Linked DNA regions of Rhinolophus ferrumequinum. The protein of the gene in region 1 binds, or shares a complex with, the protein of each later gene. Links are inferred from orthologs where the notes say so. Each region holds a gene or a part of one and is shown on either strand. Other genes may lie near its edges.

Evidence for each region.
Region 2: the proteins of ERCC6L (region 1) and BEND3 are in contact, whole or in part, in a crystal structure (PDB 5JNO), measured with the Homo sapiens proteins. The link is inferred for Rhinolophus ferrumequinum from reciprocal best matches to the Homo sapiens genes ERCC6L and BEND3. Residues at the interface, in NP_060139.2 of Homo sapiens: Ala10, Glu11, Ala12, Leu13, Ser14, Pro15, Glu16, Ala18, Ala19, Tyr21, Leu22, Arg23, Lys26, Phe51, Pro52, Asn53, Glu54, Lys55; in NP_001073919.1 of Homo sapiens: Glu252, Gln255, Ile256, Gln259, Leu261, Asp265, Arg269, Val272, Gln273, Pro276, Phe279, Ser280, Phe335, Arg338, Phe339, Gln342, Glu346.

Annotation. Positions count from the first base shown.
Region 1 is NC_046284.1:1,229,703-1,237,444, forward strand, and holds the start of ERCC6L (DNA excision repair protein ERCC-6-like), read left to right. Parts: upstream 1-4,723; 5' UTR 4,724-4,779; coding exon 4,780-4,847; intron 4,848-7,742. UniProt on the Homo sapiens protein: DNA helicase that acts as a tension sensor that associates with catenated DNA which is stretched under tension until it is resolved during anaphase. Functions as ATP-dependent DNA translocase. Can promote Holliday junction branch migration (in vitro).
Region 2 is NC_046286.1:60,222,848-60,230,409, forward strand, and holds the start of BEND3 (BEN domain-containing protein 3), read right to left. Parts: upstream 3,014-7,562; 5' UTR 2,737-3,013; intron 1-2,736. UniProt on the Homo sapiens protein: Transcriptional repressor which associates with the NoRC (nucleolar remodeling complex) complex and plays a key role in repressing rDNA transcription.

The DNA.
Region 1 (7,742 bases):
TTGCAGCTGAGCTGTGCCCTCCACAACTAGATTGAAGGACAATGACTTGGAGCTACGGGCCCTGGAGAAACACTGTCCTCAAATAAAATTTTTTTAAGAAAAAGATTAGGTGCTCCCTGGGAGTCCCTTCCTGGGCTGGCACCAGGGAGGAGCCTTGATCCCATCTTTTGGGATGGCAGGGTCACCATGCAGTGCTGTTCCAGGAGGAGGGTGAAGAAGCTGAGGAGCTCCCAGAAATACCCTTGACCTGGGGAACAAGTAGGTACAGGGTGTCCAGAGGATCCAACAACACCATGTACTGGCTGGAGCCCATCCAATGCTGGCAAGAGGAGTGGCTGGTATAGGTATGCTTGGATCTCTCCCCTTCCCTGGCTCCTGGTCCCCATTATTGCTTTGGAGATATCTCCCACCGGGGGCCCAGTGCTGCAATTTAGGGTTAGTAAATTGACAAATTCATCCATCCATCCATCTAACAAATCCTTATCAGTTACATTATGTAGGGACTGTGCTAAGCTCTGTGAAGCTGTAACTGAAAAAGACAGATCTGTCCTTCACAGCGCTCACATGATCATGGGGGAGCCAGAGAGATTACTGGGCAGCCACATTCCATGGACTAAGTTCAGTGATAGAGGCAGCGTGTGTCACATTGTGTTACAGAGGACCACTGTTGGGAAGGATCATGGAAGGTCCCTGGAACAAGGGAGACCTGAGCTGAGAACCAAGGAGTCAACAGAAGAAAGTCCATGCAGAGGAAACAGCATGTGAGAGGGCCTAGAGGCAAGATGTGAGTAAGAAAGGTGGCTCAGTTAGAGAAGAGTGGTGTGTGTGCGTGTGTGTGTGCACGCATGTGCGTGCGCAGGGGCCATGAAGAAGTGAAACATAAGGTGGAAGAAGCAGTCAGGGACCAGATCAGGAGGGCCGTGTAAGCCATAGCGAGGAGGCAACACTTGATTCTGAGGGAAAGGAGGAGGCTTTGAAGTGTTTAGGCAGGACCATGACAGGATCCATGTTTTTGAAAGATCATTCTGGTTTCTGGGTGTAGCGACAGTGAGGAGCAGGCACAAATAAAAGCAGGAAGAAAGTCAGAAGGCCATTGCAGTGAGCCAGGCAAGAAATGAGGGTGACATAGACCAGACCGGTAGCAGTGGAGAGGGAAAGAGGTGTTTGGGTTTGGGATGTATGTATGTTGGAGGAAGAGCCAACAAGACGTTCTGGTGGATTGGAAAGATGCCTCCAGTTTCTGACTTGAACAACTGGGGTATTGCTAGTGCTGTTCACGGGGATGGGAAATATTGAGGGAACAACTCTAAGGGTGTGTGGGAGATGAATTCAGTGCCATGTGGAGTGAGCTTCTAGGAAGACATGTCCTGTATCCAGTTGGTCATCTAGGTCTGAAACTAAGGAGGGAGGATGAGGCTAGAGACAGAACTGTGAGGTCTTGGGAGTGGATGAGGTAGCACGAAGGGAGAGGAGGATGCCATGTTTTGTGCAGCAGCATTGTCCTGTCAAAGGATGCCCTACCCTTTGGTGCCTGCAGGTTTAGAAGGGAATCATCAAAGACTTGGCAATTTAGTGCAAAGACCCTGCAGATAATCCTAACTCTTGGCTCCTTCTCCCACCCCCCCTCCCCCGTTCCTGTCATTTCCACAGCATCCTGGGACGACTTTGTTAGTTTCCAGTAAGAATTTGTCCAGCTCGGGAGGTGGGGGCGGGGGGAGCATGCCCGCTGCCATTCTCAGGAAATTTGGTTTCCAGCTCCCCCTGCTGGCAGAGCTGGAGATGACCTATGGCTGGGCGCCGAGCGGGACAGAGCGCCTACCTCTTGCTTCCCTCTCCAAAACAGGGGATTAAGACCTCAGCCCCAGCTCCCCTTTCCACCCTCTAAAAAATCCCACCCACTTTAAAACCCTAGCTAGAAACAGGGGGAGAAAACGTAATTAGGCATCTAGGAATCAAATTCTTCCTGCTTCCAAATCACTTCTTTCTCTTTTCTGCCCCAAAGACGATCTCCTTGCCCATGAAGATTCCATGTGGTTATTTATACCTGTCTCCAAAAACACCCTCTCCCAGTGTCAGTCCCCAAGAGCAGCATTCTTCTGACACCCAGTTGGCTTCCTTCCTCCTGCTAGGTAGGAAAGCCATGGTCTGTGCTGGAAAGAGCATGGGGCTGGGAGCCAAGGAACCTAGGTAATGCTCTTCCCTTGCCTTTTTGGTTTAGTTAACTCTTCCTTATCCTTCAGCACTAAGAGCTCAAATGCTACTTCCTCAGAGAAATCTTTCCCAGGCCGGCCAGACTGGGTCAGGTCGCTCATCATCTGCTCTCAGGACTCCCTGGAGTTTGCCTTGTGCGCCCTCATCACAGTTTGTAATTTTCCACATGCTCACGTGATTATTGTTTCAAGTCAACCCCCACCATAAGCTCCTTGACAGCAAGGACCTGTCTGTCTGTTTTGTTCACCACTGTACCCCAGCACCCACATTCTTGCCTGACCATCTCGTAAAGGCTCAACACATATTCATTAAATAAATGAATAAGTAAATGGATGAAGGGATCCCTCTCTTCATCTATCAGCTGCTTTCTATATCTAACCAGTGGAGTATGTAAGAGCAAAACCTCAAAAGCCACACTGCCAGGGTTCGGACCCCAGCTTTACCACTCACAAGCTGTGCAAATTTGTGTAACTTATTCAATATTTCTGTGCCTCAGGTCCCTTATTATAAAGGGAAGACAATAGCAATATACACTAGCTAACAAGGTCGTGAGGGTATGTATAAAGTGTGTAGAACAAGGCCTGGCATTCAAGTGCCCCATCCATCTCTCCATTTACCCATTCTGAACTCTCCCACAAGACCTCATTATCTTATTTGCAGTTTGTGAGTGCGGGTGACTCAGTGTAATTTGCAGAACAGATAACAAAAATTTGTTATTATGGAAAATTTCAAACATGCAGAGAAGTAGAGGATAATGAACCTCTTCTAATAAGCTTCAACAATTATCAACATTCTGCCAATCTATGTTCATCTGTGCCCCTCTCGTTTTTTTCCCCAACTGAAGTATTTTAATGTAAATCCCAGATGTCATATCATTTTATCTGAAAATATTCCATTATGTATCTCTAGCAGATAAGGACTTTAAAAAATACAACAGTACCATTATCACACTTAAAAAATTAACAATAATTAGGGAAGGCTCTTAAAACCCCATCCCCTTGAGAGAAGCTGGGGGAATGGGAGCCCTCCCCTCGGGGTAGATGTGAAATGAGGTACAGCCAAGACAGTTAACGTAAGTAAAAGTGCTTTGAACAGAGTCTGGCAACGTAAACGGGATATAGTAGTAACTATTATTTTGATTCTTTCATTCTCTCCATTTACCTACTATACATCCTCCCTAACTTCTCTGTTGTTTCCAGTCTGTGAATGTGTGTGACCAGTAACAAAGGAGGACTAGGAGCTATGAGTGGTGAGTTTCCCAGGTCACTGGTGCCCTGGGGTGGGAGTGGGGGCTCCAGAACGCACTGAGGAGAGCTCAAAGGAAGCAAGGAGTGCAGGACTGAGGGGAAAGGAAGGAGAGCTGGAGGACTTCATGGGTTTAAAGAAGGGGGAGTCCTGTGGCTGTGTGAAAATGGCACCCGAGAAAAATCCAGTAGCCTAAGGGCAGGGGAGCGGGATGGTTGGTCCTTTCTTCCCAGTGATCAAGGCCTTTGCTCTGCCATTTTCCAGCTCTGGAATCTTAGGCAAAGTCATTTTATCTCTCTGAGCCTCAGTTTTCATCTCTGAAAAATGGGGATAATAGTATACTAAAAGCCCTCCTAAGAGAGGGCCTAGACTTCAAGTCATATAAACCAGGAAAATAGCCCATCTTCTCTGAGATCCCGTTTGTAACGCCCAGTGGTCTATGAAATGTACAAAAAGCTTAAAATCCTCTGGCCATATGGTTGCCATATGACTGGGCCAATTGGTGAGTTTTCAAATACTGAGTGTTAATTACTGCCTTGAGGAATCATAATGTTCTTGTTCTTATCGGTATATGAACAAGAACAATTTTTGTCTCACAACCTCCTATTTGCGTTGCCCAAGCAAGCCATTAAACTCAATCGCTGCGTTCCCAGACCCCCTGAGCTCTGCCTTTGAAAATATGACTACATCTCAATGGGCGCTTCTGAAGAAACGTTGACCATAACGACAGCACTCCTTATTTCTTAAATGAAAGCTTTGGCTCGGTTCCTGTAGACCCTTCTTCAGTGTGAGTTTAAGTCACCGGGTCGATGCCTCCCAGGGTGTTTGAATTCCAAGCATGCTGAATGCCAGGCGTGGGCGAGCAGGGAAGGTAGGATATTTGGGGTGCACGCTGTGGAGGAGGTCTCTAGTGGCTACTAAAATGACAGCTCATATCACGCAGTCTACTCACGAGGACAGCACACACACACACACACACACACACACACACACAGACACACACACACACACACAGACACACACACACACACACACACACACACACACACGGAAGAGCCTCAGCACCGTTTGGATTGGACTGAAAATGCTAGACAAGACGAGGTGACACGCCCACCCCACGCCGCCGGGAGGCCGGACGGCCTCTTAGCTCCAGCGCGCGTAGGCGCAGGCGCACGAGCTTCGTGGGCGGGGCTCAGGCGGTGGTGCCGGAGCGCGGTGTAGCGGATTGGCTAGCCAGAGGCCGACGGTTGGGGCGCATGCGCAGGGCGGGAGCGAACGAAATTCAATCCCGGGCGGAGATACCTGGAACCCAAGCTGAGGGTCATGGAGGCGTCCAGAGGGTTTGCGGAAGCCGAGGTCTTAAGCCCAGAGCAGGCTGCCCATTATCGGAGGTATGTCTGGGCCGCTGGCCGGGAGTGGGGGAGGAGGGCTCTCGAAACTGCTGAGGCCCAGCCTGTGAAACGCGCCCGATTTCTCCGAGTAGGGCGTGGGAATCCGCTCAGATTTCTAAAGCCTGGGGAGCCCGCGGATGCCCTGTTTTTTTTTTTTTTTTGTTTTGTTTTTTTGTTAAATAACTCTCCGTTATGAATTCCTTAAGAGCCAGAACTTCAGTTGATCGAGCCTTTGTTGAGTCTTTGCCGGCCTAGGGCACACAGAGATGAGTGAAACATTGGTCCTGCCACCTGATTGCTTATAAGCTGGTAGTGGAAAGCGGTAGGTAAAGCTGTAAGGTTTGATAGGTGCTGTAAGGTATAACGTGGAAGGCATAATGTGGGCATAAAAGGGGGAGTGGCCAATTACAAGGGTCGCTGGGCTAAGGGAAGGAAGGCCTCACAGGAGGAAGAGGCATTTGTTTTGAAAAATGAGTAAGCATTCACCAGGTGGCTGCGGGGGCGTGGGGAGGGGCATGGTGATGTGGGGATGAGCTTTGAGAAATGCTTTTTTTAAAAAAAGATGTTATTGGGGAAGAGAAACAGGACTTTATTGGGGAACAGTGTGTACTTCCAGGACTTTTTTCCAAGTAAAGTTGTCCTTTCAATCTTAGGTTGTTGCCCTTTCAGTCTTAGTTGTGGAGGGCGCAGCTCAGCTCCAGGTCCAGCTGCTGTTGTTAGTTGCAGGGGGCACAGCCTACCATTCCTTGCAGGAGTCGAACCGGCAACCTTGTGGTTGAGAGCCCCCGCACGCTCCAACCGACTGAACCACCGGTCAGCCCTGAGAAATGTTTTAAATTGTGATAAACTACAACATACAATTTACTATCTTAACCATTCTGAAGTGGTATTAAATACATTCACAGTGTTATACAACCATCAACTCCATCCATCTCCAGAACTGTGTATCTTGTACAGCTAAAACTCTGTATCTGTTAGACAACTGCTCATTGTCCGCCGCCCCAGCCCCTGGCACCCATCATTCTGCTCTCTCCTCTCTGTCTCTGTGAATCTGACTCCTCCAGGGACCCCATGTAAGTGGAATCACACAGTATTCATCGTTTTGTGACCAGGTTATTTCAGTGAGCATTATGTCCCCAAGGTTCATCCATGTTGTGTCATGTGACAGGATTTCCTTCCTTTTAAAGGCTGAATAATATTCCATTGTATGGATAGACCACATTTTGCTTATCCACCGATGGACACTCAGGTTGCTTCCAGCTCTTGGCTGCTGTGAGTGTGGCTGCTGTGAACATGGGGGTGCAGATAGCGCTTCAAGAACCTGCTTCAGTTCTTTTGGGTGTATGCCCAGAAGTGGGATTGCTGGACTACACAGTAATTCTATTTTTCAATTTCTTGGGGAACTTCCATACTGTCTTCTAGAGCAGCTGCACCATTTCACATCCCACCAACAGTGCACAGGGTTCTAATTTCTCCGAGTCCTCATCAACACTTGTTATTTCTATTTTGTTGTTATTGTTACTAGCCATCCTAATGTGTGTAAGGTGGCATCTCTTTGGGGTTTTGATTTGCATTTCCCTGATGATCAGTGATGTTGAGCATCTTTTTTTCTTGGCCATTTGCATATCTTCTTTGGAGAAATGGATATTCAAGTCCTTTGCCCATTTTTCAGTTGTAGTTTGTTTTTGTTGTTGAGTTGTAGTTCTTTATTCTGGATATTATCACCTTCCTTGTCTGATGTATGATTGGCAGATATTTTCACCCATTCTGTGGGTTGCCTTTTCCTCTCTGTTGATTGTGTCCTTTGATGCACAGAAGTTTTAAATTTTGATGTAGTACAAAGAAAGTGGAGCAGTGAGTAGTTCTGTCTCCCTTTCCAAAAAAAAGTAACGTTTTAAGGCCTTTAAAAGCCAAAAGGTCTCCTTACAGAGGGGTAAAAGCCCATTTCTGGGCTATGTTACACGACCACCTTAAGAAAGGCTTGGGGAAAACAGGGAGGCAGTGTGGGGCGGTAGAGTGCTGGCTTTAGAGCTGGGCTTTTTGGGGTCAGATTCCGGCCCTGCCACCTGCTAGCTGGGAGACCTCATGCAAGTCACTTGACTTTTTCTGAACCTTAATTTCCTCTTCTGGAAAATGGTGATAATAAGGCTTAAGGCCTTTAGTCAGCCCTTCCCTCCTTTCTGTGAGCCTGCAAGGGGGCCTATCAGCTTGCACTGGTTCCCCGATACTGCCTCTCACGCTGGCACCTGTCTCTCACTCGCTCCCACGTGCTCTCTCCGGAACATTCTCCGAGTGTCTGTCTCCCACTCCCCTCAGCAACCACCCCTCATCTCGCCATCATCTGCTGCTCTCACAGTCCCCACCTTGCTGTCACAGTTTCCCTATCTTGTGACATCTCACTCATGACCCCTGAACTCTCATAATTCCTCTTTTATTTCTGTCTCTCCCGCCCTCTTCCACCCCCCCTCCCCGAAATCCCCTTCTCATAATTCTGCTCCTTGACACAAACCCGACGCTCACACCATTTCTCTCTTTCTCCCTCCCTCCCTCCCCTTTCTGTCTTTCTCCTTCCCTGTCTCTCTGCCTCTCCCGCCTAAGAGAGGAAAGAAAACTTTGAAACTTGCTGTCACACCTTCTCTGCACACGGGTTTTCTTTTTCACACCCCTTCATTTTCTGTCACATATGATGACTGTCACACACTCTGTGTCAGCCCACCAGCTCCTCTCTTGCCCACCCTCTCACTCTGATACTCACTGCCCACTTGTACTCTCTGTATCCCCCACGTGCTTCCACTCTCTGTTGCCCCCCTGCCCCATTGCCCCTTATTTCTCTGGCACTCTTCCCACCCCTCCCCCCCCCCCCCCCCCCCGTCTCTGTGGGACGGTGAATAGTTC
Region 2 (7,562 bases), on another chromosome or scaffold:
GACCCCAAGCCTCCATCCTTTTATTTACTAGCTCCATGCTCAAACCAACAGCCTCTTGCATACAAGAAAAGACCATTAAGTGATGTTCAACTGAGCAACCAATACCTTTATAGATACTGATGCAACTGTGTTTCACTGGCCAATGATAACTGAAAATCAGACAAGAGGAAAGGTGGTCCTTGGTAGAACAAAACACTAAGAGGGCTGAATTTAAATACCTATGTTTCAAGTTGGATGAAAAATGGAGGAAGGGCATGTTACCAGGAGAGCTGCTGAGAACAACTCAGCTCTAAAGCAACAGTTTGTAAAAGTCTGGTCATTCGGGGATGAACATGCCAGGCAGTAACCATCACTCGGAGGGAACCAGCACGTCTCCTGTGTGACACACCGAAGGCTTGGTGCCAGCCAGCACGGAGAGCTCTTAGCTTGGCATGTGGGGGTCATGTGTGGCAGCTACCGTGTTTCCCCAAAAATAAGACCTGCTTTTATATTAATTTTTGCTCCAAAAGACGCATTAGGGCTTATGTTCAGCGGATGTTATCCTGAAAAATCATAGTAGGGCTTATTTTCCGGTGAGGTCTTATTTTGTGGGAAACACGGTAGTTCCAGAAACCACAAGGGCTCTGGGCTGAAATAATAATGTTGAAAGAGATACTGGAGCATCAGAAGGGGGAGAAGAGCAATTGTCCAATCTGGAGGGGAAAAGACACAGCAAGAGCAAGGTGATGTTCACAAAGCACATTAAAATATCCATGTTTTGGGCATGTGTGCTTTTGGGGACTTTAAATTTTATTTTTTAAATTATATAGTAAAATTCACTCTGGGGGAGAGAGGAATGTACAGTTCTATGAAAGGACACATGTATACATCCCTGTAACCACGAGCGAGAGGAGGCTATAAAAAAGTTGTCACCCCAAAGATTAATTCTATACATAATTCCCCAAACTTATTTAGCCAATAAAGGGCACAATGAAAAATAAGGGTAGCAACCATAATCACCACTTGTCATCAAAATTAAGTGCCAGAAAAAAATGCTACACCCCAACCTCCCCTACACTAACACTAAATTGCTTTTGCTGGTTGGCTGGAAACCTTCATGTGTTTCTACATTATAAAATTTACATACCCCCAAACTTTTCATCTCTGGTAACAACCACATTCAGTGGCGGGAGTTTTTGAGTGTCAGATTTTAAAGGTTCTGGTTTGATCTGTGAATTTCAGTTCAAGGGCCATGCAGACGGGTTAACCCACCAGCAGGTTCAGGCTGCACTGACCCCACCTTTCTTCTGGAATCCAAGAGGCTCTCCATTCATTTAGCAAATACTTATTGAGCACCTACTAAGTTAGTGACTGGGGATGTAAAGCGGTTAAGACACAAAATCTTGTGCAAAACTCAGTACTGAGAGTGAAGGAGGCAGACAGGGTCCTATATGGTGATACAAAACCATAAACTAGGGACAGTAGGCTAAAAAAATAAACTCGGGGGTGGGGTTAGGGGTGTGGACACCAAAAGAACCTCCTCCATCTCCTCAAGCTTACATACAGAGCTAGCAAGAGCTCACTTCCTTGCCTCAGTTTCCTGCAGCTGTAGTGTTCTGGCACCTTACGTGTTGTGTAGTGACACGTTAAGCATTCAAGTTACTTTAAATAGGTGAAATTGACCATTTACGACTCTCAAGTGCTTAGCCCTATTTTGCGCACTCTTGTCTGGTTAGCGTTGGTGTGTAAAATTCTTCCAGACAAGCCACCTGAGCAATCAAACTCTTACCTCTGAAAAACCACCTTGTGTCTCGGTACACAAGTCCTTACAGGAAGGACTGCACAACTCACCGATAAGGCGAGGGCAAAGTCTGCGTGGGAAATCACGTTTGCAATAGAGAGGGAAAGGCAGGCAGGAGCAACGGCGAGCGCCCCAGGCTCCAGTCCGCGGCCGGACGGGAAGGCCTTGCGCCAGCCGGGGTGCACACCCAAGGCCGGGCCCGCCTCCAGCTCCCGGGCAGCGGGAACCGCGAACCGCGCCGTGGACGGTCGGGACGGAGCGCTGCGCCCCCTGGCGGCGGGGCCCATCTCCGTCCGCTCCCGGCCGCCGCCGCCGCCGCCGCCGCCGCCGCCGCCGCGGGCCGGCCTCGCTCCATTTACAGACTCCCGAAGCAGCGTCCTTCCGAGCGGCGGCTCCTCCGGCCTCCCGCGCCCCGCTCGGCATCTCGCTCCAGTCCCCGCCCCCTGCTCCGCTCTGACACCCCCTTCTACACGCCGAGCCGTCCCCCGCTGCAGCCTGGCCCAGCGCGAGCGCCGAGCCCCCGCGGGCTCCGCAGAGCCTTTCCGGCGGCGCCGGCCGCTCCATCGCGGCGCCCGGCGGGGGTGCTGGGCCGGCGTGCGGCGCGAGTGGGGCGCGCAGCGGCGCCAGCACGGACCGTTCCACTCCGCGTTCCCCCCGCCCCCGCGCGGCGCGCGTGCTCCCGGGGACGCCATGGAGCCGCGGCGTTCCGAGCGGCACAAAGGGGCGCGCGGCACAATGGGCGCGGTGAGCCCGTGGGCGCCGAGCGCCCGCTCCGGCGGCTCGGCCCTGCGTGGGGGTGGGCGCTCCTCCCGGCGGGCGCGCTTAGGGCAGCCCCCCTTTTCGTCCCCTCCCCTGCTCCCGCCCCCACCCCGGCATGGATGTTGCAGCCACTCTCCCGTCCGTCTGCCCTGGAGCCGCCGCCACCGCGCAGCCGGCTTGATCCGCCCCGCACTTACCTGGGACACGAGTTCTGTACTTTGCTGAGCGGGCCCGCGCCGAGTTTGGGCGCCACGTGGGGTGCGGGGGAGCGCAGGGCTGAGGAGTGGGGGCCTCGCGCGGAGGGCCTGGCCGGGGCGGCCCGGGGAGTTGCTGGGGGCGGCGGGCGGGCGCCGTGTATTTTCCCCTCTCTTTGTGTGTGTCCGTGCGCTGCGCTCTCGCGTGACGTGACGGGACTCCGTGTGTCATTTCCGCACAAGGACACAGGAGCCCCCGCTGCAGTGGAACCACAACCCCTCCGCCCCCACCCCCGGCCTGCCCCTCCCCCTCAGCGGGGCACACGCGGGACCGGCGGCGGCGTTCGGGCGTGAACGGCCGCGGCGGGGAGCTGGGGCGCGCACTCCAGGGACCCGAGCGGCCCGGCGCGCTCCGCCGGCGCCGCGCTGCTCCACGTGGGCCCGCGCCGGTTGCCCGGGCGGGGGCAGCGGTCGCGTACCCACGACGCGCTGGGGCAGCGCTGGCTAACAATGTCCTCGGCACTCTGTGTGTTCTCCCCCCGCGAGTCATTTCTCTAAAACGTGGTTGCTCAGACCCGAGGAGTTTGACCTGAAAAGCCTCTTTTTCTACTTTTTTTTTCTCCGCGGGACGGCGACTGTGCGGGGCGTTACCTCCCCTAGAGCCAGCGCCAGTCCCGAATTCTTGGCATTTCCGCGGTGCCCTGGCCCCCCCGGGCGGGTGTTCCCGCGCCGAGCTCGGCACAAAGACATCGGGGCGCAGGGACCCCAGTGGCCCCGGCGGAACCGGCATGGAGTCGCGGGCCGCGGGAGAGCGACCCTGGCGCTGGGAAACGCTGGCTCTGGCCACTCCCCCAGCGGAGTGGCCGCCCTCTGTTGTGAGCCTGAGAGCTAAACATCTGCCTTTTACTTGTAACCCTAAGTTTTAAGGTTTGAGGCTGCAGAGCGAGAGATTCAGAAGTGCGCGCGCTCCCAGACCCACATGCCAGACAAACCCACGGGATATCTGCGCCCAGCGCTTAAAATAGAAAAGCACGCGTCACCATTTCAATAAAGGCTGATTCTTTAAACTCCTAACTCCCGGATGGGAGAGTTCGACTTGATAAATATGCAACCTGCCCCTCGAGTATTTTCACAAGTCTCAGAGACTTGAAGGGGTGTGGTGTGTGAGGGTCAAGGAAGCCCAATTCAACAGTTAAACCACGTTTATACTTTAAGCAAATAACGAGAATAAATTTAAAAAAGAAACTTTAATTTGCCGATCGAAGAAAGTATAAGAAGAAAAATGCAAATGATCCCATCTGCTGCTCACAGCTGACTGGCTGCAAGACACGACCATGTGGCCCAGCCCTGTGTGGTCACTGAATAGGTAGAATAGATTTTAAAATAAGGCTTATGCTGGCTCCTTGCTGCCCAGTCGCGGAGAGGGTTTGATTTAACGTATAGTTTTGGATTACCTTATCCTCCAGAGCACTCCAACTGGGAATTTAGTAATTATTCAAGTTCCTCCCCTTCAGGTTTGAAATCCAAAAGCACTGGGTTATTCAAGACCTTTGAAGAACTACGTGGAACATTCTCGAACTGTATTTGGTAGCCCATTTTGAGAAGTCAGTACTAATGGCTATGCAAAATTAGCAAGCTGCCAGGAGAACGGAGCCCTGCACCGAGGGAGTGGTTTTATAAAAGAATCTATACGTGCTCAGTGTCATTCAAAACAGGATGATGAAAAGAATGGGGCTGAGATAGCAAGCAGCCCTTCAAATTCAAAAGACTTGAGTCCCCTATCTACATTTAAAATAGGGTGGAGGGAGGAAGGGAGGAGGACCGCTTGGGGGTGAATGGTTAATTTATACATTCCCAGAAGACAGAATGGAGGCACTTGGATTTCTGCCGGGAACTTGACTTTTACACTCGCACATTAAATAACACATGATATAGTAGTACATCGCTTGACTTATACAGATACAGCAGTCTCACCTTCAATTTAATATGACAGCCATAATTAGAATTTAAAAAGTATAAGTTGCATTTCATTCGTTCAGTTTTCTAAGGTTTCCCAGTAGGAGAGTTAGGAAGAGTTAAGACGTATTTGAGCTCACTTAGCATTTTTAAAGTGGATGCAAAGTGGTTTAAAAATGTAAAATGACCGTGTTAAATTTTTATAAAAGGAACTAGATGAAATGTGTGTTGTGAAGCATTTATCTTTAGTCAGTCGTTCCAGTGACAACTCAGGTATTTAAGGATAAATTAAATAATAAAAGACAATAGGAATTAAATAATAGAAATTAACATTTCTTTGTTCATACTGTTTGAAACCAAAGATTTTTCTCAAATACAATAATTTTACTAAAAAATAGCATCTAAGGCAAACAAGATGCTTAATTGACATAACTGACTTCAAAACATCTCTCAAGAAATTACAAAGTGACCTTGAGAATTATTGTAAATATGTATCCTAATTTACACAACTGGATCAATCTACTTAACAAAGCAAGCTGTTTATTCCAAATAAATTATTAACAGAAATAGAAATCATTGCTATCTAAGAAAGGAAACTACCTACCTTCAAATGATTTTGTATATTATGAGTTTCTTTTTTTAATGAGCTAAAAAACAGAATGCAACTGAGTAAATTTGAAGAATTGGCTTTATTAAGCAATTCATGAATTGGGCAGGGCCCCCATCTAGCAACTAAAAAGGCGCTCCAGGGGTTGTACAAAACTGGAAGGATTTTATAGGAAGAAGGGTGGGATAAGGAAACTATTAACAAAAGAAAAGAAAGGATTATTTTTTAGGCCAGGACATCTTTGGGGGGAGGGGAATGGGAAAGGTTTTTATCATGCAAATTGCCTCTTACCTTACTGGTGCTTGACCAGAAAATTCCAGACTGGTTGTTTAAGATTATATTTCTGGGAAAGGTTGAAACTGTAAATAGATCAGATATTAAATCTAGGTTTCGTGTCATGGGCTTTTAGCACAAGTGATGCCATTTTAGGCCTGTGGTTTTTGTCTTAACAGGAGGAAGGGAAAATAGTACATGAAGGTGTAACCCCCTGCATTGGAATAGTTGTATTTGCAGTTGTATTTTGGAGTCTTAAAAATGAATAGTTCTGAAAGTGCTATTGGCTAATAGTAATGCCTTATGGAAAAAATATGAATAAACATGGAGTAAGATGAGGAGAGGAATGAGGAAGGGAAAACACAATTTCTGTCCAACCCAATGCTAAAAAGTCAGGAGGAATGATAGACCAGGCTTCGTAAGGATGTGCAGAAAGACCTGAAAAAAACACCAACCTGAGTTTTAGAGGTCTGCTTGATTGGAAATTTCTTAATTAGAAATGCATTTTCCAAGATTTCAAATTAGAGCTGCTGCAACTGATCTAATGAACTCATTTCCAATTTTACCTGAGTAAATGCAGCTTGTTGGTCATATAAAGGAATCCTATAAAACACTAAAAACTCGAATGCAAAAAGAGTGGGATATAATGTAAATATATATCATTAAAAGTGGCAGACAGACATTAGGTTTCAGATTATCTTTTAACTGTTCCTCTAAAGGTTTTATCACTGCTAAAATATATAGTTGCCAAGACAATATTTACTAGGGCTTTTTTTTTCTTCATTAGTTAAGTCTTAAAACAACGCAACAGATTTCACTGTGATTTGTGAGACATTTTCACTTTGTTTCTTGCACGCTGGGTGCATAATTTTGCCAAGTCTTCAACTTCAAACAAAGTTGCTGGCACATCCAGATTCTGTAACTACTCAAAACAGAAGTAAGAGGGGAAAAAAAGGAGGGGCGGAGAGGCATGTATTAACTTTATTAAAACAACTTATAGAAAGACACACCTTGCTAAATAACTTGCAAAACTGACTTTTGGTTGGAAAGTTGGGCTCGGGGAGTTGAGTTTGACCCATTGTGTGCTGTCGGGGGGAAACAACTACCTTCAGTGGAATTCGGAACAGGTAAATGACACAAGGCGAAAAATGAGGTTTAGAATGAAAAGCTGCAGAGAATTTGTGATGGGCAGTTTTTCTTATGTGTAGAAGAACTATTGAATAATTTATAGCAGCTTGAGATGTGATGCACCCAACACAGCCATTAGGATCTGGTTTTAGTGGAGTATCTGGCTTACACAATAGGATTCTGCAAAAAGAAATATCAGGGAGAGAGAAATCTGCTGCAATCCCATTCTCAGTTTCAAGCCCTTGAGAAAACAAATGCCAATCCAAACTATAGTTTGCTCTGAGCCCAGAGTGCTGGCTGGAGGCGCTGTAGCCACCAGGGCCCCCTCGCCCAGAGGGGCGCCCAAGGGCCTGCAGTCAGGAGTCTCCACACTGATCCCACAATTACAGCGACAGGCAGGAAGCAGGGAGCAGGGGGAGGCTGGTTCCCCAGCCAATCAGACCCCATTAAAAAAGAAGAAAAAGGAGACATACTGCTGCACTAATTGGCCGGTTTTTAAAATAATTATTTCATGCTGTGAATCAAAAGACTCTAAATTAAATCATATATATGTGTGTATATATGTGTGTGTGTGTGTGTGTGTGTGTGTGTGTATACACATATATATCTTCTTTGACTTGCCTAAAATCTTTTCTTTAAAATGAAACACCTCATAGAAATACACTGGAGATCCAATGATTCCAGTTCTAGGAATCTATCCCAGAGTAATACTCAACCAAGGCCAGTCTACAGAGATGTTCACTGCAGGATCGTTCATGATAGCAAAAAATTAGAACGTGGGAAATAGTTAAATAAATGACATATGCTGTGGCATACTATGTAGGCTTTAGAAAAAAGGAAGGTACTCTTTTTTATGGATACAGAA